3 linked regions of the Drosophila melanogaster genome follow. The protein of the gene in region 1 purifies or fractionates together with the protein of each later gene. This does not show direct contact. Each region holds a gene or a part of one and is shown on either strand. Other genes may lie near its edges.

Evidence for each region.
Region 2: the proteins of FASN1 (region 1) and PCB purify together in Drosophila melanogaster (affinity purification with mass spectrometry, with the first as the bait; one large-scale study listed by BioGRID). This does not show direct contact.
Region 3: the proteins of FASN1 (region 1) and Mec2 purify together in Drosophila melanogaster (affinity purification with mass spectrometry, with the first as the bait; one large-scale study listed by BioGRID). This does not show direct contact.

Annotation. Positions count from the first base shown.
Region 1 is NT_033779.5:3,052,607-3,061,688, reverse strand, and holds the start of FASN1 (fatty acid synthase 1), read right to left. Parts: upstream 4,701-9,082; 5' UTR 4,582-4,700; coding exon 4,579-4,581; intron 2,085-4,578; coding exon 1,547-2,084; intron 1,460-1,546; coding exon 1-1,459. Other genes in the region: FASN2 (fatty acid synthase 2), read right to left, coding at 6,202-6,312, 6,376-6,519, 6,906-7,001, 7,066-9,082.
Region 2 is NT_033778.4:9,856,412-9,863,349, forward strand, and holds the start of PCB (pyruvate carboxylase), read right to left. Parts: upstream 5,133-6,938; 5' UTR 5,040-5,132; exon of another isoform or gene 4,734-5,039; intron 4,349-4,733; exon of another isoform or gene 3,959-4,348; intron 1-3,958.
Region 3 is NC_004354.4:19,186,203-19,192,825, reverse strand, and holds Mec2 (Mec2), read right to left. Parts: upstream 4,792-6,623; 5' UTR 4,712-4,791; coding exon 4,543-4,711; intron 3,793-4,542; coding exon 3,279-3,792; intron 3,187-3,278; coding exon 3,021-3,186; intron 2,942-3,020; coding exon 2,738-2,941; 3' UTR 2,633-2,737; downstream 1-2,632. Other genes in the region: CG7914 (uncharacterized protein), read left to right, coding at 1-325; HP1D3csd (heterochromatin protein 1D3 chromoshadow domain), read right to left, coding at 2,011-2,550; CG33253 (uncharacterized protein), read right to left, coding at 6,053-6,292, 6,383-6,548, 6,620-6,623.

The DNA of each region.
Region 1 (9,082 bases):
AGGACATCGGCACACCTCTGAATGGTCTTGGCGAAGGCCTCGATCTTCATCAGATCCTTGGCCATGCTAGCCCACTGGCTGCCCATGCCGGAGTAGATGTACCAAATAGGGCGTTTATCGTCGTTGGACTCGATCACCTCACGTTGGTGGGTGCCCTTGCTGCTCACCACTCCGTAGCCACGGAAGAAGTGATTCGGAATAGCCTTTGAGTGGATCTCGTTGATCAGTTGCAGGTACTCATCATCATCGGCATTAGTAGAGGCGGACTCGAGCAACTGCTCCACAGCCTCAAAGGTGCGTCCAGAGGCGAGGACCACTTTCAGTGCTCCATCCTTGGGGGTCAAAGCCTTGGGCTTGGGGTTCGACTTTAAGATAACGTGAGCGTTGGCTCCTCCAAAACCAAAGGAGTTCAGGCCGATGATGCCACCGTTCCAAGGCAGATTCCTGTCGACCACCTTGAGACGTCCATCAACGAGTCCATAAAGATCTGGGTTCGGCTTGTTGTAGTGCAAGTTACCGGGAATGACGCCCTCCTCCATGGCGATCAGAATCTTGGCCACAGAGCAGACACCGGAAGCGGGTTCCGAGTGACCCATGTTGGACTTGACCGATCCGATCAACAGAGGGGTCGTACGGTCCTTGCAGAAGAAGTCAGTGATAGAGTTCACCTCCTGGGGATCGCCCACCTTGGTTCCGGTACCGTGTGCCTCCACGTAAACCACATCGGCGGGGTTAAGACCAATCTCCTCGTAGGTCTCGCGGATCAGGCGATTTTGCATCTTGCCAATAGGGTATGTGATGCCCTGCTCCTTGAAACCATCCGTATTGGTGCGCACATTGAGGATGGAGGCATACACACGCCTGGCTGCAGAGGTGCGCTGCAGGAGCAGCACCACACATCCATCGGAACGGACGTATCCATTGCCAGACTCATCGAAGGCCTTGCAGCTGCCGTCCGGGCTCAACATATTCAGTCGCTTGAACTGCAGCGACATGGTGGGCTTGAGGATCAGTCCAGCTCCAGCGACCAGGGCGTTGTCGACCTTTCCTTCGCGCATATCGGAGAAAGCCTGTTCCAAGGCGTACAGAGAACTGGAGCAAGCGGTGTCAATGCTGTAGCTGGGTCCCTTGAAATCAAAGGTGAAGGAGATGCGGTTGGCAAACATGGCACGGGCACATCCTGTCAAGCCGTAGCCGTTAACCCGGTCAGCATCGCTGCACCAGTGCTGCTCAGTCTCCGAGTTGGACACACCGATGTACACACCAGTGCGGGAACCGCGCAGATCACTTGGGTTTAGGCCAGCGTCAATAATAGCTTCATGGGTGAGCTCGAGCAGCATGCGCAGCAGTGGGTCCATGCACTCAGCCTGCTTTTGGTGCACACCGAAGAACTGTTGGTCAAAGTTCTCCAGATCGCTATCCTTGAGCTTGCCAATCCTGTCGGGAAGTCCATACAGACCTGGAACGAAGGTTGTTAACACATTAGATTGTAACTACTCAAAAGAATGCTATTCCTTATGAGAAGTCCATTGGTAGTTGATCTTACCACGCTCCCAACGGCGGGGATCATCGTTGACCATGTCGACGCCGTCGAAAAGATTCTGCTTGAACTCCTCGATGGTGGAGCTCTCCGGCAGACGGCCGGAGAAACCGGTGATGGCGATCTCATCGTTGAGGTGCTGCTGACGGGGCACATAGTGACCACCACCCAGGTCCAATTGGGGGGCGGCACGTTGTGCGGGCTCAGCGGTGATGACTTCCTCGGCGAATCGGGCGGGCATATTGATGGATTCGGGATTGAATTGGGAGTTTAGGTGGTCCTGTCTATCGTTGGGTGCAGAGTGCGGGGTGGACGAGGAGGTGCTCGGTGTTAGCTGCGCGTCGGTATCACGGAAGGCGTCAGGTTGCTGCGAATTCTGCTGCTGCTTGTTGCGTCTGCGGCGTCGACGACGATTGGCGCGAGCGCTCTTTCCGTTGTTCTGGGTGCTGGGTGAATGTTGGGGCTGATGGGTGCTGCAATTGTTGGGCTTGAAAGCAACAGGATGCGGCTGGTCCACGGCTTGCAACAGGTTTAGTTGTAGGGGCTGCAATTGGAGAAGAGGATGCGAAAGTCTTGTTAGTATAACTCATTTCGTGTATTAAATATTTTAAAATTGTGATCATTCTGCCGCATCTGCAACTTGTCTGCCACCCCTCGCTGTTAAGCAAAAGCTCTTTACCACCCGCAAGCGCAGAGCTTTCGCTCTCTGGAGCGGGATGCCGGGCGATTAGGTTTTTTGTTTGAATGTTCAGCTGGTGGAAAGTTGGTGTAGAAATTGCAAATCAGGTGATGCCGCGCAGTCGGAGCTTTGACCGCGCATATACCGGCACACAGCATTATTTGTTATGGGCGGCTTGCTGCTTTGAAGCCAGCGACTGGGTTGACAGTTAACAGCAACTTGTGGCAGTCGCGTTAACAGTGCAACACCATTCGCGTTAACATAGGCCGCACACACTCACACTGAGCCAACGCGAACGGCAAGCTGCTTTCTTATTCGCCGAGAAACTCGTACGATGTGCGAAATCGAATGATTCAACAAAAGAAGGGAAACTATATAATGAGCGGAGCTGGCGGAGTCGGTTTAAGCTGAAATCTGGGGAAGCCGAAAGCGTCGTTAGAAGAGGAAGAGCGAGAACATGAGCGGTCAGCAACACAGAACAAATAAACAATACACTCAGAACAAAACGAAATACGAATCGTGCAGCCGTAGTTTCTTTGAAATTCAAATGTTATTGATCATATAAATATGGAACCATACTTACAGGAACCATTTTCATATAATAAACCTATTTTTCCGCGTGTAGCCACTACAAATTGCCGGTAAAAATCGGGCGACTCAGCAGCAAGCTTATCTATCAAATGGCCGTTGGCTTGGCCAGACTTCTATGTTTATGTTTTGCTATTGTAATAGGCATCCGAATCGGAGGTGGGTGCCAAAGAGAGCGGCGTATAGTCAAGACGCAGCCCCAAAAGTCCCCACCGCCATGTGTGTGTACATACACACACACACACACAGACACACGAGCTCGACGCGTGTACCATTTGTTTAGTGAGATAAGGTGGCGTGATTTCTCAAGTTCATTGAAGTATTATTTTCATAGTCTCTCCAGATCGGTTGATCTACCGGTGAATAAACTCGCAATGCGATGGTGAGAACTATCCTTTTACAGCAATTGAACGGGCGTATATTGATTTATCGATGGCCCCCGCCCCCAATCGATCCATCCATCATCAGGCCATATTGCGAAAGTTGCGTCATTGGATATGTAAACACGGGTGACAAACATAGCCCCCTCCCCTTTCCACTCTAAACTGTGTTTGTTTATGCACTCGGTTCCATTCCCGCAGCCATCGATTGGGGCCCAAAGTACTGCTGTACGCGTCAGCACAGCCCCCGCCCAAAAACCCACATCCCCAGCCCAGCAAATCGAATCTGCCTGTGACGCTTCAAGTTCATGAACAAGATGATAACGTCTCTGACTGAGACTAGGCCATGGGGCGATTCCGAAACGGCCTGGTGGTGATAAGAGTGATAAGGCAGCGCTGCCTACTCATACGACTGTGCACCTGTATCGGAAATGTTTGATCGGCGGCGGACGCGTGTTCTTCAGGAAGCGACGACTCTATTAGCCGATAAAGATTAGCCAGACACTCGAAATTTTCCAATCACACAATCGCACGATTCTTGTTTGTTTTTGGCTGCGGAATTGGGGCGTGTGGCCGCCTTTATGGGTTGCTGGGTGTTGTTGTTTTATGCAAAGCGATCGCTTGATAACTCACTTTCAACTTTTTGAGCATTCAGCTGGTAGAGCTAAGCAATTTCTGAAAAGTATTTTACTTTAGGTGCTTAACTTTTGAATTTGATTTTGTATTTAAGCAAACAACTTATTGTTATTGCAACATTTATCACTGCAATTTCAAATGTAATAATAGTAAAATTTATAATATTTGTTTGTTTGCTTGACTTTAGCTAAATACGCAGATAGATTTCCCTATTTTCGTATTAAAAGCAATTTCAAATTTCATTTTTAGTAACTGTCTTAATGGCTGTGCAGTTAGCATGGTTGTAAAATAATGAAAATGGCACACGCAACCGGAAAATTGTTGGATTTGTCATTTCAGAAGGTTTGGGTTCGTTGCAAAAATGGCACTGGACTTATTTACATGGGAATATTTAGCAAGGATTTCCGAATTGCAAAAGGACTATAACGATGTCTGCCAAGGAAATCGTAGAAATTAAGCAGCTCTTGCATGGCAATTAGAAAGGGAAACCCTATCGCGAAGCCCCTACTATATGGAGCAGACGAGAGGAGACTGGGACTTGGACTTCCCCCCACCGCCGCCCGCACATCTTGCAATTAGCGTGTAATTTGGTGTCTCAGCGCAGCAGGAACTGCTGTTTTGGGGGGCGTTTGGAGTAGTAGAACAACACTTCTATGGGTCCTAAAGGTCAAAAGCACTGGAGAGCAAGTGCGAACTTAGTAATTCGTATTTTTAGTCGACTTGACGAATGATCACTTGGAGACGCTCGATCTAACCATTTTTCTCCTATTTTTTTCACACTTTTCCGTTGTTTCTGCTTTTTTTCTTATTTTCGTTAGCAATTCACTTTTTGTCCAGCGAAAATTTCGTTTTCATTTTCTCCTCAGCACACCAGCACACACACACACGCAAATTTGAACAGGGGCTGTTTTATTCCTGCGGCTGCCATTTTTTGTACATACCTAGAAATCAGGCGATTCCTCGACAGCTGTTTTTCGAGTTCTTGGAGTGGAGCGGGCGGAGGGCTGCGCGGAGGATTCGAATTCAGTTTCGTGGGGGGTGTTCCTTTACAGTTGGTCCTGACTGAATGGGGAAACCGTTATAATCCAGAAACTGAAACTGCTTTCGACTCGAAGTTCTCCGTTGACTGCCGTTATTAGCTTAGTTAGTAGCTATTAGTTTTTGAAAATTACTCTGCCACACACAGTTATGTTCTTTGGGATTCAAACGTAGCGTACCGGCTTGTAAAACCACGACAACGACGGAATGCTGCGACGAACGGAAATGCGAGAATCAGGTGAGCGCCGGCCTTTTTATATGACGCCCGCCGCCTCCAAGAAGAGCTTTTGGAGAGCTTCTCGCTGCGCTGCTCTCTCGCGCTGTTAAAAGTTAACCGTAGCACGATGCCCTTCCCCTACAGAGGGTACTTCGAATTCGGTCCGCCGCTTGGGCTGACATCCTCGACCTTACCTCGTAGACCTGATTGATAAGCCGCTGTTTACCGGCGATCTACTCACGGATCTACGATTTCATTTGATCATTCACAATCTACCTGAAATCCATTACTTGTACTTTTCGCTTATTAAGCTTAAAAGTGATTGGTTATTGATCAATTAGATTGAATGGTTTTTAATATTTATAGCACCTATTAAAACATATGTGGGTTCAATGAAAATATGTATAAATATTATTGCTAGTGTCAAAAAGGAAAATTCTTATTTAATTAACCGAATTGAATTAGTTATTATTTCAAAAAGGTCCTAGTTTAAGCAGACTGCGTAAAATTTTTTCAGCAGCAGGGTGTTTTTAATTCGGATTTCCAAAGCCACTGTTATTGGTGTAAACTTCTGTTATTGTTGCTGGACTCTGTGCGGCGCTTAAATTCGCATTAACAGCGATAAGTGGTCAGCTGTTGTGTGCGTGACGGAGATGTAGAAATTTTGATTTGCCCGCCATAGTCGGACCACTTTTTCGTCGATTATTAATCGTCTGGCGAGATCACTAGCGCGATAGAGTGGGCGGCATTATCAATTATGGAAAGGTACGCCGAAGTCGGGTCAATAAAGCCAGCCAGCACGGGTCAGAATGTTCGGATCGTAGTGATTCATCGTGGAAATCATGCGAGTACCACGCGAGTAAAACTGGAAACACGAGCGAACTTCTCCGATCGTTTATAAGCCAATTACTTTGTGAGAAATGCCTCGCGATAGTATACATTTGGAAAATTATCTTGTATTAGACAATGTTCTGATTAGTGAAGTTCGACCGTACTGAATGCGTTCATTATTCTTAAACAATCAATGCGCGATTGCTACGTGTATTGATAGGATTAGGGTATATGTACATTAAGTTCTACAGGATAATTCATCAGCATAATCGTACGAACTACTTCCCTTCCACTAGGGACGCTTCCGCAGGACGCGCTCGATGATCTGTAGAGTGTGCGGCTCCTTGAGGAAGGTCCTGTGTGTACCCTCCACCACATGCATGTCGATCTGGGCACTGCAAATCTGCAAGGATTGGAGGGAAATGGTCATTAAATAATGCTATAGATAGGTTTTATAGGCACTTACCTCCTTGAGGCCATAGTCCTGGGCCATAATCGCATTGTGCTCGGCCGACTTGATCAAGACCACATCGCTGTGGAGCTGCTTGGCGCCCTTGTAGCTCTCAGAAAGTAGCAGCTTCTGTTTGAACATGCAGGCGGCCTTCTTGATCTGTGACAATGTTCAAATAATATGGTAGGTTAGGTCTATAAAAACAATATAATGCAACAATATGTTTTTAAGTGCCTCACGCTAATTGCGAAGAATACGGACCATAATAATACACTAACTATTTGTCCGGCACTTTTAGAAGGCACTTTTTCTCGTCTGTTAAAAAGTACACACTTGTAATAAATACTACTTGAAATTATAAACACACACATAAGTGTAAGCAAATGCATCAACTTAGTCTACAAGTACTATAGTTAAGCCAGTACTTAATCATCAATCAAATAGATAGATGTTCAACAAATGCTTACGCTTTTATGGTGGTTTGGAAATCTAATTGACACATATATTATTAAGCAATATTGTAATTAGAATCGCTAGAGACCCACCACTTCTCTGGTTTGCTGCGTGTAACCAGCCAGAGTGTCTGCTAGTTTGTCGAGCTTGGAGGGCCATGTCTGGACTCCATCGAGGAGTTGCAGTAGCTGTAAGGATCAATATATTTATAAGAATGGTTTATAGGATCAAGCACAACAAGGAACATGGAACCACCTGGTTGTAATCCACGTCGGCGAGCAGAGCTCCAAAGTAGGCCAACGTCATGGACTGCTGCCGGTTGAGGTCGTCCGTCTGCTTCTTGGCCTCCTGGACATAGCCGCTGGCCATGGTGGGCGCTCCGTCCAGCATGATGACCTTGACCCCGAAGCGGCGCTGCTCCAGCGCCACAGCAATGGCGTGGGCGAGCAGGCAGCCGTAGGAGTAGCCTACGATGTGGTACGGTCCGAGGGGCTGGAGCTTCTGGATCTGGCGCAGATAGTAGGCGGCACAGGCCTCGATGGAGTCCAGGGGCACTTGCTCCGTGCACTGCAGCCCGTAGGCGGGGCAGGTGAGCGAGGCGGCCAGCGCCTCCACGGCTATTGTGAATCCCTCGATGGGAGCCAAGAAGAACACAGCCGGATCCTCGCTGGCCACGGGCGCCTTTGACCGAAGGCGCACCATCACCTCCTGGGGTAATACTTCCTTGGCGAATACCTTGCGCGTCTCATCGCTCTGGGGCTGGACCTCCACGCAGGCCTCCTCCTTGATCCTTGATAGGGTGGAAGAGGCTGAGGGCGATGAGACTGAAGCGGAGGGCGGTTCCTGGGCGTCTATCTGGCGCAGGGCGCTAAAGGTTAGCTGGCGGATCTCCTGGGCGCTCAGCACCAGGTCAAAGTGACGCTCCAACGTCTGCTTGATCTCTGTGCTCATCAGCGAGTCCATGCCAAGATCGAAGAGGGTGGTCTTATCGGAGACACTCTTTACATCCCTCAGTCCCATGATATTCGCGATCGTGGCTATCAAGCTCAGCCGGTTGGCCTGCTCCGTCTTGCGTTTTTCCGCCACCACCATGGAGGCCATGACGGGATGGGGCTGCTGCAGAAATAGGTCCAGAGTCTCCAGACAGCTGATCATCCGCTGCGGCAGAGTGCCGCCCACAACTGTTTCGTTGTTGCCCATGTGCTCGATGATCAGTCCGGTGTCCCCAATTGCTCCCCATTGAATCGCTGTGCCCGGATAACCATATTCCTGCCGCTGCTCGCATATCCTTTCCATCGTGGAGTTCGCCAGTCCATAGTTGGTCTGTCCCATGTTTCCCCTGCCGCAGGACAAGCTGGAGAAGCACACGAAGTACTCCAGTGCAGGACAAATTTCCCGGGAGATCTTGTCCAAGTGTATGGTGGCCAGTAGCTTCGGTGCACTTACCTTTTCAAAGTTCTTCGGGCTTTGATCTTCGATCAGTCCATCCCGTAGTACAGCCGCGAGGTTAAAGATACCTCCAACCAGGGCCAGCTTATTACTAACCTCTAGGAGTCTCTGGCAGCCAACAGCGGTGGTCACATCGTTGGTATCGATCTGAACCTGAACTCCACGGTCGTGCCAGCGACGAATCATCAGGGCCTGGTACCCGCTCTTCACCCCAGAGCGAGAGCTCAGAACCAGAAAGCGGGCTCCTCTGGAAACTAGCCAGTTGGCCAGCTCCAGACCGAATCCCCCAAGTCCCCCCACCAAGATGTAGCTCTTCTCTGGGTGCATGTAGGAGCGCGGTATGGCCTGAATTTGCCTAAGTCGCGGGAGAGCCGCCTGCTGTTCCTCCTCCAAACGTACCTTGATCACCACCTTGCCAATATGTTTGCCGGACGCCATGAAACGGAACGCCTTCTCGATCTCCTGCTCTGCAAAGACTGTGGTAGGCAGCGGCTGCACTGCTCCACTCTTGATACCCTCCGCCACCAACTTGGCAACCATTAGCTGCATCTCCTCCTCCCCCTCCATCACGCTGTCCAGAAGGATTCCGTGGAAGGAGGTGTTCTTGAGGAACACCGACATCCCTAGCGGAGTGTTGTTGCTCAAGTCAAACTTGCCGATCTCCAGGAAGCGGCCATTCAAAGCCAGACAGCGAATGGAGGCTTGCAGCTTCTCCTCGGAGAGAGAGTTCAGCACAAGTTCCACTCCATTTCCGTGGGTTTCGCTCATGATCAATTGCTCGAAAGAGGTGTCTCGCGAATTGCCAATATTCTTAGCTTTC
Region 2 (6,938 bases), on another chromosome or scaffold:
AAATCATCAATGGCAATATTTGAAATAATGAACGCTCTGCTTTACGATTGAGAGATTGCATTAAACGCGTTAATTATCTGTTAATTTCGAAAGCTCGATTGCCACAAATGCCTTAAGGTTATCGACATTACTTTCGAAAAAACAAACAAACAAACAAGCGGATCTAGAAGGTCTCGTTTTGAAGTTATTGCAATTGGAAATTTAAGAACACGACGGGTTACAACGACTGCTAATACCATATAAAAAAAGGTAGAGTACATTTTTTTATTCTGGACTTTGTTTGAAAGTAAAGAGTGGTTCCCTCTTGGGAATCTGGGTTTCTAAAATTCCGACCGCATCTGTTGGCCTAAGTACAATTATAATCTTCTGACCAAAGTCCACCGCTTGGTACTTCGGTGTTATTCCACTAAACAGAACAATCGGTCTGCTCATTAACATGAGTTGACTCACGTGATCAAAATTCAAAGCAGGTTTTAAAAATGCACGGCAAACTTGTACAATTAAATGCCAGCTTTTCAGCTTGTGTTTTCTTATGCGTTTTGCTTGTAAACTCCGAAAAATTCCCCTAATTGAAGTATTAATACTGCCTATTTTACAACCATTACGTATATTAGCTTAGTAATAGATTAACAAATATTTGCTACTGCTGCAGCACGTTTTCGCACTTGAAGTTCATCGGATATTTTCAGTGGATCTAACCGTTTGGATAAACAGTGGATAGGTAATAAAAGAGACATAGATAGATCATTATCCATATACACATCTCAATTCATTAGTATATATGTGCACTTGTAGTTTATAGATATATGTAAAAGTTTTCTAAGCTTATTCTTATTGTTTAAAGCTGTTAGCTTATATTGATTAGTACATACATACTTAGTCATATTAAGACGGAAAAAATGAGTACATACTAAAGATTACATATTTTGAGCAACAAATTTAAGGGAAGAGTATCCACTGTCCGTTGGTTGTCAGTTCGCTTATGCCGCACATGCCATAACATATTTTATTTATTTTATGTCTGTTAGCTTTTAGGGTGTTTTGCTCATTATCAGCGATTCAAATGGGTTTTGTAGCCCCCGTCAGCGATGAAACAGACAGACAGACATATAGAGACATACGGACACGCTTAGTGGTGCACGGGTGCGTCAGAGACCGGCTTTGCAATTCAGATTCCGGACTCAAATCGGACTCAACTAGTGAGTACTTTCTAGTCTGTAGACCTCTGTGGGGGCTCGTCTTTGCTTGCACAAAAACGAGTTGGCAAAGTCCACTTTCTATGCCAGACAGAAACCTACTTAAAGTGCGATGGAAACTAAAGCAGAAGAGAGGAGAACTGGTCAGGTGAACGAAATCCAAAGGAGATCTTTTGGAATCTTGACCCCGCGATAATCGGTTTGATAACCATTCTCCTATCGCCTCTATTTTTGGCCAGCAAAAGGGAGTGTTTACCATGAGTAGTTGCAATTAAGTGGGGGTCCTCGCAACCGCACGTGAAGTGCATGCCCCAATGAAAGGGGGTCGCAGTGGTCCGAGGAGCCCATAGATAATCTAGAACCCATGTTGACATATGTATTTGATGTGTGACACAGGTGCAGATAATGACCAGTCGATAAGCCCGCTTTATTAACACATCAGAGGTCGGACTCTGGTAAATATTATCATTCCCAGTGGGAGTGCACATCTATATGGCCCCCCTGTTTGGGATCTATAAATAGTCGCTACGTGATGGAAATCTTTAGTTTGGTCCACTCTAATTAAATATTCCTCTCTTAGCATCAATTTTGTTTGCTAACTCTGTTAATTTGCACCGCATTACCTCACGATTGTGTTATAAATTACTAGATCCAACAAAGTTGCTCAAACCCCATTGGTAGTATTATTGGAAAGATAAGCCCAATGTCACCTTATGGAGCGGAAGAAGCACTCGACACGCAGACCTTAAGAATGCTATTAATGATAAAAGATAGCCACATCCCTAAAATACTCTGCTCGAAGTTTTGAAACTCAATCCTGATAACATCAGAATATAAGTTTCCTTAAGCTTTATAACATCATTGCTCTAAAAGTTACACGGGGAGTAAGAAGTCGTTGTGAGTTGATAGAAAGCACTCTGTTGTTTAGAAATAATCTTTATTTTTAGGTTAATAAAAGTTTTGAAACTGGTATCTGTGAAACGTGGCAAATCTAATCTTAGCCGCAAGCGGAAATTATAATCGGAAGCTTTTCTCCTATCGCTTTCGTAAGAATGAAAAGGATTTTCAATAAATAATTTAAATATCGATCTGCGATAAAGAATCTATATCTATTTACGTTTCAATTAGAATTTAAACTATTTGAAGACCGGATCACTGGCTCCCCTGCTGTATTTAAAAATTAAAGCGCATTAGCATCGGAATAAAGTGAAGAATGCATGTCTACAATTGGTTAGCATGATGTGAAAATAACACGTATTTTCGCATGCAAATCAGGGTTTATTTCAGGTATTTCTGGGATAGCTTCAGCACCTTTTTTTGTGCTGTATTTCTGGCAATATTTGCAGGCTATCAATTATCCTGTTGCTTGTTGACTGGGTGTGTTGCCTCATATTTTCTGAAAGAAAAGTGGGCGCTGTCAGGGCCAATCTCATGCAATTACACGAAAACGTTGTTGACACGGCATACGAAAACCCAACCAAAACTCAGCCAAAACCCACCCGAAGCCCGATTGTGTTTGCCCATCGGAATGGGCGATTATGTAATAATAACATGATAGCCAACTAACTACACACTAATAGTACTGGAATGCCCCAGTCACTTGAACGCTTTGCTTTTGTTCACCAACTTTTGCACAGGAAAATGTGCGTGCTATGATTTTATTTTTATTTATTTTTCTTGCTCCACAAACGTATGATCTTGAACGACAAGCTGCTAAGGTCAAAGTCGCTTTTGAATGTAGGTCGTACATTGATTTTGTCGCCAAAATGTGAGAATAAGAATAGATGGACTTTTCTACTTCCGATTACTAGTTGTTTTCTTAAACTGCATTCAGTATTTCAGTTCCAGATGTGAAGTTATATAATCCGCATTCTGAACTAAAAAGAAAAACTATAAATAGCAATGATTGATAAGGAGATGGAACGCCCAGGATCTTCTATTTTTTATATTATATTTTCGCTAGAAAATTAAGTCTATGGCCATTAACTCGTGTCGCCCAGGATCTTCTATTTTTTAACAAAACTCTCTCTTTGCCAGCAAAAGTTACAGAGATCTTACATTCGTTCGAAAACCTTATATTTACTTGAGCAGCCTGTCTAGACTCTAGACCTTATCACGCCAAACGAAAAGCTGATAGAGACGAAGCTTTGACATTGACTAGTCCGGGTCCAGCTCTCCATACAAGTATATGTGACGGCCTGTCGGTCCCGGCGAATCAATAGCAATCAAACAAATCAAACTGTGCCCATAAACTGGTTAAATTTCGGATCACCCCCGTTCGCAATCCCTGATCACACTGCACACGATATGTAGATAATTTCCGAGTAATCGCGCACACTACGTATAGATTATGGATCTATGTGCGACAAACACGTTTCCCCAATGGCGAAACCATAAGAAGGTCATAAATATTGGGCAGCAAGTAGGATGAGTCCGAAAATAAAACAGCCACATTTCCCTCTCTGGGATGGTGTCTATCGCACGGGTGTGTGTTTGGGGGCATGGGGGTATGCTACGCTACGACATGGTATGGTGCGGTATGGCATGGTATGGCATGGTATGGAATAGAATAGAATAAAATGTAATTAACACATGTCTGCCAGAGAGTGACGATGGCAAATTACAATGGTTGGACGGCGAGAAAGGGCTGGGGAAAGAAACCAGCCGAACCGAGTGGAAGAAGAAATTGAGCACAAATTATGCAATTAAATGGCTATGCACTTGATCGATAGACGCAGTCCGCCGACCGACCGGCGACTTACTTATTGATGGCGAAAGTTCCGAAGGAGCGCTCTGCGCCTATTGTCGTTGTCCTGGCGCAAAGTGGGTAATCGCTGCTCCAGCACTACAAAACAATTTCAAACGGGTCGTGAGTCAACGTGGTTTCTTTAGCTTATGTACCGCGCTCAGCACATACAAATTCACGGTTCCTATGTATCCTATGTGCGCGAGGTTTTGTCAACTTGCCGGCCTCTTTTTTTTGCGTTTGGTCTCGGGGTTGCGTTTGGTTTGGTTTGCTTGGAATTGGTTTGGTTTTGGTCTATGTAGGTAGAACAGCGCGAATTCGCAAACGGTTGCTCTGCTGCACTCTGATTCTCTCTTCTGCCCAGGAACTCGCGAACCGTTCACTTCAAAGCTGTCCGTCGGACTGGTCGAGCGCACAAACTCGAAACTTTCGACTAGTTCCGTGGGAGAGTGGTCGTGGTGGTTTCAATGGGAACATTAACGTTCTCTCCCAATCTGTGAGGCTCCTCTCGCAGTTTCGATGTCTGCGCGTGCTCCCTGCCGGCAATGATTTGTTCTCGATAGAAATGGGCGGATCGAATCTATGATACCTCTTAGCTACCAAAGCTAACATATCAAATCTGGCTAACGAATTGTGGGCATTTCATGTAATAAATCGTAAAATCTAACTATACCCAATTAATATCTCCATAGGATAGTTGAGTTATACAAAGTATATTTATATATTAATTATATATTATAATCTCAGAATTGCATCTTTATTTGCCTCACTTCTAATCCAACACATTGAAAGGCTAAGTTTAAAATGACACTATGAAATTCGTATGGAAATCACTAAGGCTTTCATCTAGCTGTTACCCACTTAGCACGGATCTGATATACCCCAATGTCACCCAGTAAAGAGACTGGAACATCAACGAACTTTGGCCTAGCGCAAAGCTGTTTTTGCCGGTCGCACCGGAGAACTTTCTTTTGACATTGGTTCCTTGGAGGAGGAGAGAGGGGAAGGCGGGCGGAGAGAGCAACAGCTGTGCACCGAGCCCCAAAATGGCACAGGTCTCGAAAGCCTGAAAACTCCACCAAATTTTATAGACTTACTTGACTTTTCGTACCATAAAGATAATTTAGAAGAGCTGTAATTTATAAAAGGCGGCCATAAGATAATTTGAAACTTAAAATTTTGATTATGACTGATGAATAATCGAATGAAAATAGCCTACTGAAAATAAAGTAACCTTCTTAATGATGTCTAATCGCTAAGATTCCTTTTACATGTCCTTGCAATTAAATCCTTTATTTTCATAATATATTATAATAGGATATACTTCTTTGTTTCCACAATGCCCACGGATGAAAAATGGAAACGAAACAACCCTGATATGGATCTATTATGCTCGTGGAAACTTTCAGAACATTATGAGCTTGTTGTTGCTTCGCTGTGTCGCAACAGTGAAGTGAATTCGAATGGTCTGGGCGTCGGGATCGGACGCGTGGAACTTATTATATGAACAGCCGGTGGGTCTACGAGTCAGAGGAATCGTACGACTCCCAATGGATGTCCAGATCTGGCGCTGATACGAGTGAGTGAGAGGAGAGAAGAGGAGAAGAGAGGAGCGGGAGCCCGCCTACGCTCCCAATTATCGCCAGTATCATCGGCTCAGTGAGCAGATTCTCGCGCTCCCTCGCTAAAAAACTGATCTTGCCGGTGTGTATATGTGTATGGCGTATATATATATAGGTAGACACGTGTATATCGGTGGTTTTGAGATTTTTATTTTTATATTGCGGCACGCGCGATTGTGGCCATAACAAACCTGGGCAGTCTTATCACCAGACAGAAAGAATCAAAAAGGGGCCAACAAGAATGATGTTGTGTATGAGCGTCGGCAGAAACATAAACATACATATATGTGTAAAATACAGATATAGATATATGTACTATCGTATGCCCGATAATGCTGCACTGAGGAAGTGTAGGGTATCTGCGGCCGAAAGAATGTGCTAGTGGGGCTTATAATCGATTATTTATTTCGATCTCATGTTTATAATATATATATTTGCCAATCTATCTCGAAGGCTCCTCATTTCAATAAACTTTGCTACCAAAGAAGCAATTGAAAACCATTAAAGCTTGGAGATAAGATTGAAGAAATCTATCAACCTATTGGATTAACTACCACCTCCAAAAAGATTCCACACGCTGCTGGGCGATTTTAGCGTATTGGTGAGCTGATAAGAGGGCCACGCCTCCGTCTGAATGGAAATCTTTTATAAGCTATCAGGCCAATGGTGCAAAACCGGCCAGTCATTCCCAATTACTGGACGTACCATATCTTATCAGCTCCAAAGGCGGGAATTAAACTTTAATACTCTGCCTTCGTGGGGATTACACTCTTCTATGGTGCCTATAGGTCGATACAAGATTACTATTGGTTATGTTCGAAGAAGAGTATTCGTTAGTCGCTGCGTTTAAGGTGTCAAAGCCAAAACAGTATTATACACGTGCCGCTTATTTTGGTACTTGAACTTTCTCATGCTGACAATGATAACGTTTTGGTTTGATTTAACTCCTCCGATTTATGGTTTAAATATGCCAATGTGTTAAATTATCAAGCCTTTTAACCACAAGTTTTTTTGCGGTACGAAACCATAATAATTAAGAGCCTTGGACTATAACTTATGAATTTCGTTCTAAGGATAAAAAAACAAGTACTGTGATAAGAAAAAGACAGTTAATTAATTTTTAAGAATAAATTTATCAAAGTCCAAAGTTGATACTACTTCATATTGGGTTTGATATATGACAAATGTGAAGTAAAAGGCTGATCGCTGCGACCTTCAAGTAATCTATTATTAAAACCATATACCCATACGATATAACCTTTATTGAAACGGTAACACTTACCTAAAGGGAATGTTTTTAGTTACATTTTCAGATTTTTGCCAAAACCAATTTTACGATACCTTTAAAATTGTATATTTGTACTAAAAATACAA
Region 3 (6,623 bases), on another chromosome or scaffold:
CTTCCGCGAGGAGATGCTCGAGTTCGCCCAGTTCTGGAACTACAGGAGCTGCCTCTACCTGCCGCATCAGCAGTGTGACTCCTCCGCTTGCCAGGAGGCGGGCCACTGTGCCCAGCAGTGCCCTCAGCTCCGGGACAATCTACGCTACAAGGAGACGGCAAAGGTGTCCCGATTAGATGCCACCGAACTGGCCACCCACCTCAATCCCGCGATTCCCGGACAGCGTGTCCTCATCGTGGCTGGAGATTCAAGTTTTCAAAAGAACATCGCCCAAATAGCAACACAATCATTGGACGTAGATCCGGCAAACATTTATATGTTGTAAATGCCGGGAAAAACTGTAGTTGCTTATAAATATTTGAATATTGTTAATGAATTTGTGATCGTACTGGTTATACCGAGGGTTTTATATTTTTTATACCCTAGATTCGTTGAAAAGTATGTAACAGACAGAAGATATACATATATTCTAGATCTGGATCAATAGCCGAGTTGTTCTGGCCATGTCCGTCTGTCCGTATGAACGTCGAGATCTTAGGTACTATAAATGCTAGAAGGCTATCACGCCCACTCTAACGCCCACAAACCGCACAAAACTGCCACGACCACACTTTTAATAAATGTGTTGATATTTTTTCACATTTTGATTAGTCTTCATTAATTTCTATCGACTTGCAAACAACGTTTTGCTACGTCCACTCGAACGCCCAAAACTGCCACGCCCACATTTTTGAAATATTTTTAAATTATTTTATAAGTCGTGTAAGTTTCTATCGATTTAAAAAAAACTTTGGCACGCCCACTCTAACGCCCTAAAACCGCCCAAACCTGCCGCGCCCACATTTTTGAAATTTTTTTTGGATATTTTTTAATAATTTTATTAGTCGTGTAAATTTCTATCGATTTACAATTTTTTTTTTGCCACACCCAGTCTAACGCCCTAAAGCGGCCATAACTGCCACGCCCACACTTTTGAACAATTTTTATTCCCCAATATCTATCGATATACCAGAAAAATTCAGAAATTTCGCGTTCGCATTCACACTAGCTGAGTAAAGGGTATCTGATAGTCGGGGAACTTGACTATAGCATTCTCTCTAGTTGGCATTTGAAACTTTTACATGTTTTCTATACTTCCAATTAAGCATTTGAGTGTACCGAAAATGGAATGTGTACTTCCATAAAGGAGGAGGAGTTCACTTCTTCATCATCAGTAATACAGGTAACTCCAACTACTTCTACTGTTTTGCCCACACTTGCTACTTTTAATTGGTTATAGGGCATCTATACTTATCGCTGCTAAATGAACATATGGTTTTGGCCATCCAGGTGGCTCTTCAATCCATTTCGCTGTCGGCAAATCATTTACTTTGTTAAAATCTGAGCATTGCAGTTGCAATTCTCATACCAAATGTATCGATCGGGATTTAATTGTCTTTAAAAAAGCCGACTGGTTTTCGCTGTAATTAATACAATTGAGCGTCTGGTTATTCACTGGATGAATCGAAAGGAAACATTATGAATCCAATTGCCATTAAACATTCTCTATGGTCATCTTTTTATTTGACCTCCTGTGTCCACAACATGGTTATGATTCCATTTGACTATTAGTGATCCAATCTAATTCAAGTCATACCAAGTGGATGATATTTTAGGAATCAACCCAATTGGTGTTCAGATTGGAATAATCTGAACACCAATTTGAACATACCCTGTACCTTGATTTTGAGAAACAAATGTGTTTGTGCCTTAACAATTCGTTATTTCGAAACATTCTTTACAAAATAATTTGAATTACTTACAAACAATAAAAAGGATAATTTTATTTTGAAGCAAACTTATTGTTACAAGACAAAAACGAAAAAAAAAATAAAGTAATTTAACTTAAATACTGTGAGTTGATTCAAGATCTTTTAACATTTTCTTCATGGATGGATAATGATAATGGATAAAGTCAATTTGGAGATCTGCTCCAGTTATATTATAAATCCTCGGGCTTCGGAGGTTTTTTCAGTCCTGTAGCTTCAGGCTCTTAATGTAGTCAATGAGTAGCTTGGGGTGCACATGTTTGATCTCCTGAACAGGCACGGCTTCCCCCCACTTGGATCCCTTCCAGGTGACAATGAAGTAGACCGTGTCACCAAGCATATAGCTGTACATAACATTCTCAATTGCTTTGCCGCGGACCAGGAGCGCATCCGTAGGCGGCACGTTCAACGGTTGGGACTCATTGGAATTGCCGCCATCGAGATTCCCTGACACGCTGCCACCGTTGGTTGCATCCAGTTCTGCCTGTTGTACCAACAACTCGACGAGCAGCCGAGCCAGCTCTGCCCGAGCCGAATTGTGAACTCCCATGTGCTTTGGAGGCGGCGTCGAACCGGCCTCCTTGGATTCATCCTTTGTCGGCTCTTCCTGCACTTCCTCCTGCTGATCGTTCTCCTTCTGCTGATCGTTCTCCTTCTGCTGATCGTTCTCCTTCTGCTTTTCCTCCTCCGCGGGGAAACCACCTGTGTTCTTGTTGTTGGGGCTGTTTTCTTTGTCCGCCATCGTTTAGCAATAAAGTTCTCTTGCAAAAGTAAACCAAATGAATTCACGTGCAATCGTTAAATGAAAAATGGCGGCAAGTTTCCGATTGCTGAAGCTGCCAGCTAGTGCGAATTGCATTTATTAAAAAAAAAAAAAAAATGAATAAGACATTAATATTTTCAAACTCTGGCAACGCCCTAGATTCAAATCATAGGTTGGTTTTCGGCCAAGCGTCCAGTGCGTCTAAAACTATGTTATCTGACTTTTCTGGCGATTGCTTAAGTTCCGGTGGCGGGCCCATCAAGTGGGCATATTTGGCCAGATACGGAGTAAGCAGCTCCATGGGCAGAGGAAAGATAATGGTGGAGTTCTTCTCGGCGGAGATGCTGCTCAGGGTTTGCAAGTAGCGCAGCTGTGATGACAGAAAAATTCGAATGGCTGGTAATCCGTGCTCAACGATTGATTTCAGCTTTTACTAGGACAACACCCACCTGCAAGGCCGATGGACTGGCGGAAATGACATCGGATGCCTCCTTGAGCGCTGTGGCGGACTTCTTCTCACCCTCGGCGGCGATCACCTTGGCACGAGCATCACGAGCTGCCTCCGCTTCGGCGGCCATGGCACGCTGCATGGAAACGGGCAGGGAGACATCCTTGCTGTCAGCGGGTGAAGTGCATACAACGTACAGATGTTAAGAAATACTGATCTGATCTGATGGATGTCAAATGCCTACTAAATGGCTACTTACATCTCAACGCGCTCCACCATGACGCCCCACGGCTCGGTGGCCTCGTCCAACGTGGCCTGCATATTGTGGGCCAGGGTTTCGCGCTCGGTTAGCAGTTCGGACAGGTTGCGAGTGCCGACGATATTTCGGAGCGTGGTGGCCGCCAGGAGGCGAGTGGACATGCTGTAGTCCTCGACCTGGATGACCGCATAAAGGGGATCACTGATGCGATAGTAGACAACGGCGTCCACAGTGACCGTCACGGAATCCTTCGTCAGCATCTCCTGCTGCGGCACATTGAAGGTAACCGTGCGCAGGTCCACCTTGCGGTACTCATCGATGCACGGCAGGATGAAGAACATGCCGGGACCACGAGCTCCGCCGCTCAGTCTGCCCAGCCGGAAGATGATCGCCCGCTCGTACTCCGCCACCACCTTGAAGCATATGAAGATGGCGATGGGCGATGTGATGATGAAGATCAGCACGGAGAACAGGGTGACCACCCATTCCATGCAGCCCTTGGGCTCGTTCTCCGCTGCAATGGGATGTTAGGAATATGAATATGAAATATTCATCTACAAAATGGCCATATTTCAGGCATATGTGTACAATAATTGTGCCGCAAGAGAAACGTAGATAAGTCCACTTCAATTCGATGGCCAAGATGAAGTACCTTCTTTGTCCGGATTCCGAAGAGACCAACTTATTATTAAGTAAAACAGGACTATGATGGACTATGTAACAACTTGAAAAAGAGAAAGCTGTGAAAAGCAATAGCCATCACAATCAAAAAAAAGAAAACACGGATAAACACCAATCAGCCCGCTTATCTTGGAGTCCAATAAAAATTCCTACGATTAAAAATATAGACAGGTGTAATATATATGCGCCAATACAATTAGAATGTTGTAGCAATTGACGATTATGTGGGATTACGATGGAAATCAAATTGCTACTAGTACTACTTTGATAAAGCGAGAGATAGTTTGTATTTTTAGAACTCCTATCTAGTGAATACTATTAACCGAATCAAGCGGTTTTGCATGTCTGAAATATTGTAGAATGCTTTGAGCCAAAAACAAACTTTTCACGCGATCAAAATGCTGTTGCAATCTTATCTGAACCAGCGATTCCAAGAAATCGTATCTCAATCGATCTAAAGTGATTAGCGCTTGACAGTAAGCAAAGACTTGTTTTTTTTTAACAATAATAATTCTCCTAATATTGGCCGGGATGGGTCATCATCTTGCTGCATCTATAGTATACACCGTTTCCGCCCGCTTACAAGTTTTGAATCCACGATACTGCTGCGTGGTGCCGGGCACTCGAAGTGCCGGCTCGGGTGCCATGCCGGCGGCGCCCATGTTGACCATGTACGCCGTGGAGCTGGCCGGCCCAGAGTTGCGCATATCTTCGTAGTTGGCGTACACGGGCGAATCCTGGTGCGGCTCCATTGCTGTTTCTCTGCTCCGTTCTGGCCTACGTTCGTTGCTCTCCGATCGGCTATGGATTCGAAACTGTCGCCAGCGGTCAGCGCCGCAAAAGCCAAACTGAATGCCCAAAAGCGTTCTCACGTGATAAGAGCGCACTGGTTCTCTCAGATACGAAGTATCGCATTGGCATTATCGCTACGCTGAGCTGCCGAGCGGCTTAAATGCGATTCAACAGTGAGAGAAAAGAAGCACTGCACTGAAACACCACGAACCAAGTGTGCCGCCACTGAAAGAGGCGATCTCTAGTCCGTACATCCTCCACAGCAATTGAGCACATGCCATATAAGAGAATGTAATGGAATGGAATGTAAATGCATCGGCTCGTAAATTTTCGTTCAGTGTAGTGTATCTACGACCGGGGAAACACCAAGAGCCGCTCTGTAAGTCGAGAGCCATGGGTCACCACGGATGATTCACTGCACTGCGCCGAAAGAATTGCCAACTGGAGGCGTACACTTTCAGATTATTCCGACCGACGATCAATGAAAGCCGAGTAAGCTCTATCTGGCCCAAGTGCGTTTAGCACTTTAATCAATCGGTTATCTCAGCTGGAGCATTGAGACGCAGTTCTGCTTTGGGGTCACGGGTCATTGGCTGGAGCCACCCGATGGTGACTCAATTCTGATCTGGCGGTCACATTAGCACTGAAGAGCTTATCTGCCACACTCGCTGAAGTGGCATGCAAATCTGAGTTATTTAGATAAGCGAAGAGCAAATATGTACATACATATATATATATCATATATAAATGTAAATTTTGTTGTTTCGAAAAAGGGGGAAGAACTGAAAAAAAAAATGTGTTTTCTGAATCATTTGGTTTATTTAAATGGTTAGCTTTTACCCTGGTTTGTAGTTAGCTATTGTTATTAATTCTTAAGATACAAACAAATAATATTGGTTATTTTAAATATAACGTCTCTACTTAAAACGACTGTGAATGAAGAAGGAAAAGCCTTGGAAAAGCCTCAGTTACTATTGCATACTAAATTCGACATATTAGAATAAATTCTAAAAAAAAAAAATTTATTTTTAAGTCCGAACCATGTTTGAATCTCTCCAGAATCTAGGGAATTCCATGGCACTTTCATTCGAATTCATTGGTGACTCATTTTCCGGATTTTCCGGACAGTTCCGCTTTCTGTCGCTGCTGCCGCCGTTCCACTAGAGCAAGAAACCCACGATGTCGTCATCGTCATCCGCCGCTCCCGCTGCAGCCGCTCCGCTTCGCTGTTGCTTCTGCTGACGCTGCAGCTCGCAGCGATGCAGTGCCTCCAGATATGGTTGCAGCACCGACATCGAGCGTCACTGGTGGTGTTGGTGCGGGTGTCGATGGAGTGGCGTGCCAGGAGCCGCAGGATGTTGTTGTTGTTGGTGCTGATGCTGCTGCTGTTGCTGTTGCAGCTGCTGCTGGTGTTGCAGTTGCAGCTGCTGCGAGTGTGCTTGGGTATTCAGGAAGGGCGTGAGCAGCTCCATGGGCAGCGGGAAGATGATGGTCGAATTCTTCTCGGTTGAAATGCTGCTCAGTGTTTGCAAGTATCGCAACTAAGTAGAGAAGAAGATGGAACGAATGAAACCATTTGGGCCAGTTCCAAATGTCCGATGGTTGGATTCAGATGGAAGAAGATGACTCACCTGCAGGGCGGATGGACTGGCCGAGATGATCTCGGAAGCCTCGCGCAGAGCCCTCGACGACTTCATCTCGCCCTCGGCGGCAATGACCTTGGCCCGCGCCTCCCTCGCTGCCTCCGCCTCGGCGGCCATCGCCCGCTGGAGGGCAGTTGGCAAGGATACGTCCTTGCTGCAAGCGGATCATGGATAGAGTGGATCATGTCATGATCACATCACGACTTTCGGCAGTTGGCTACTCACATCT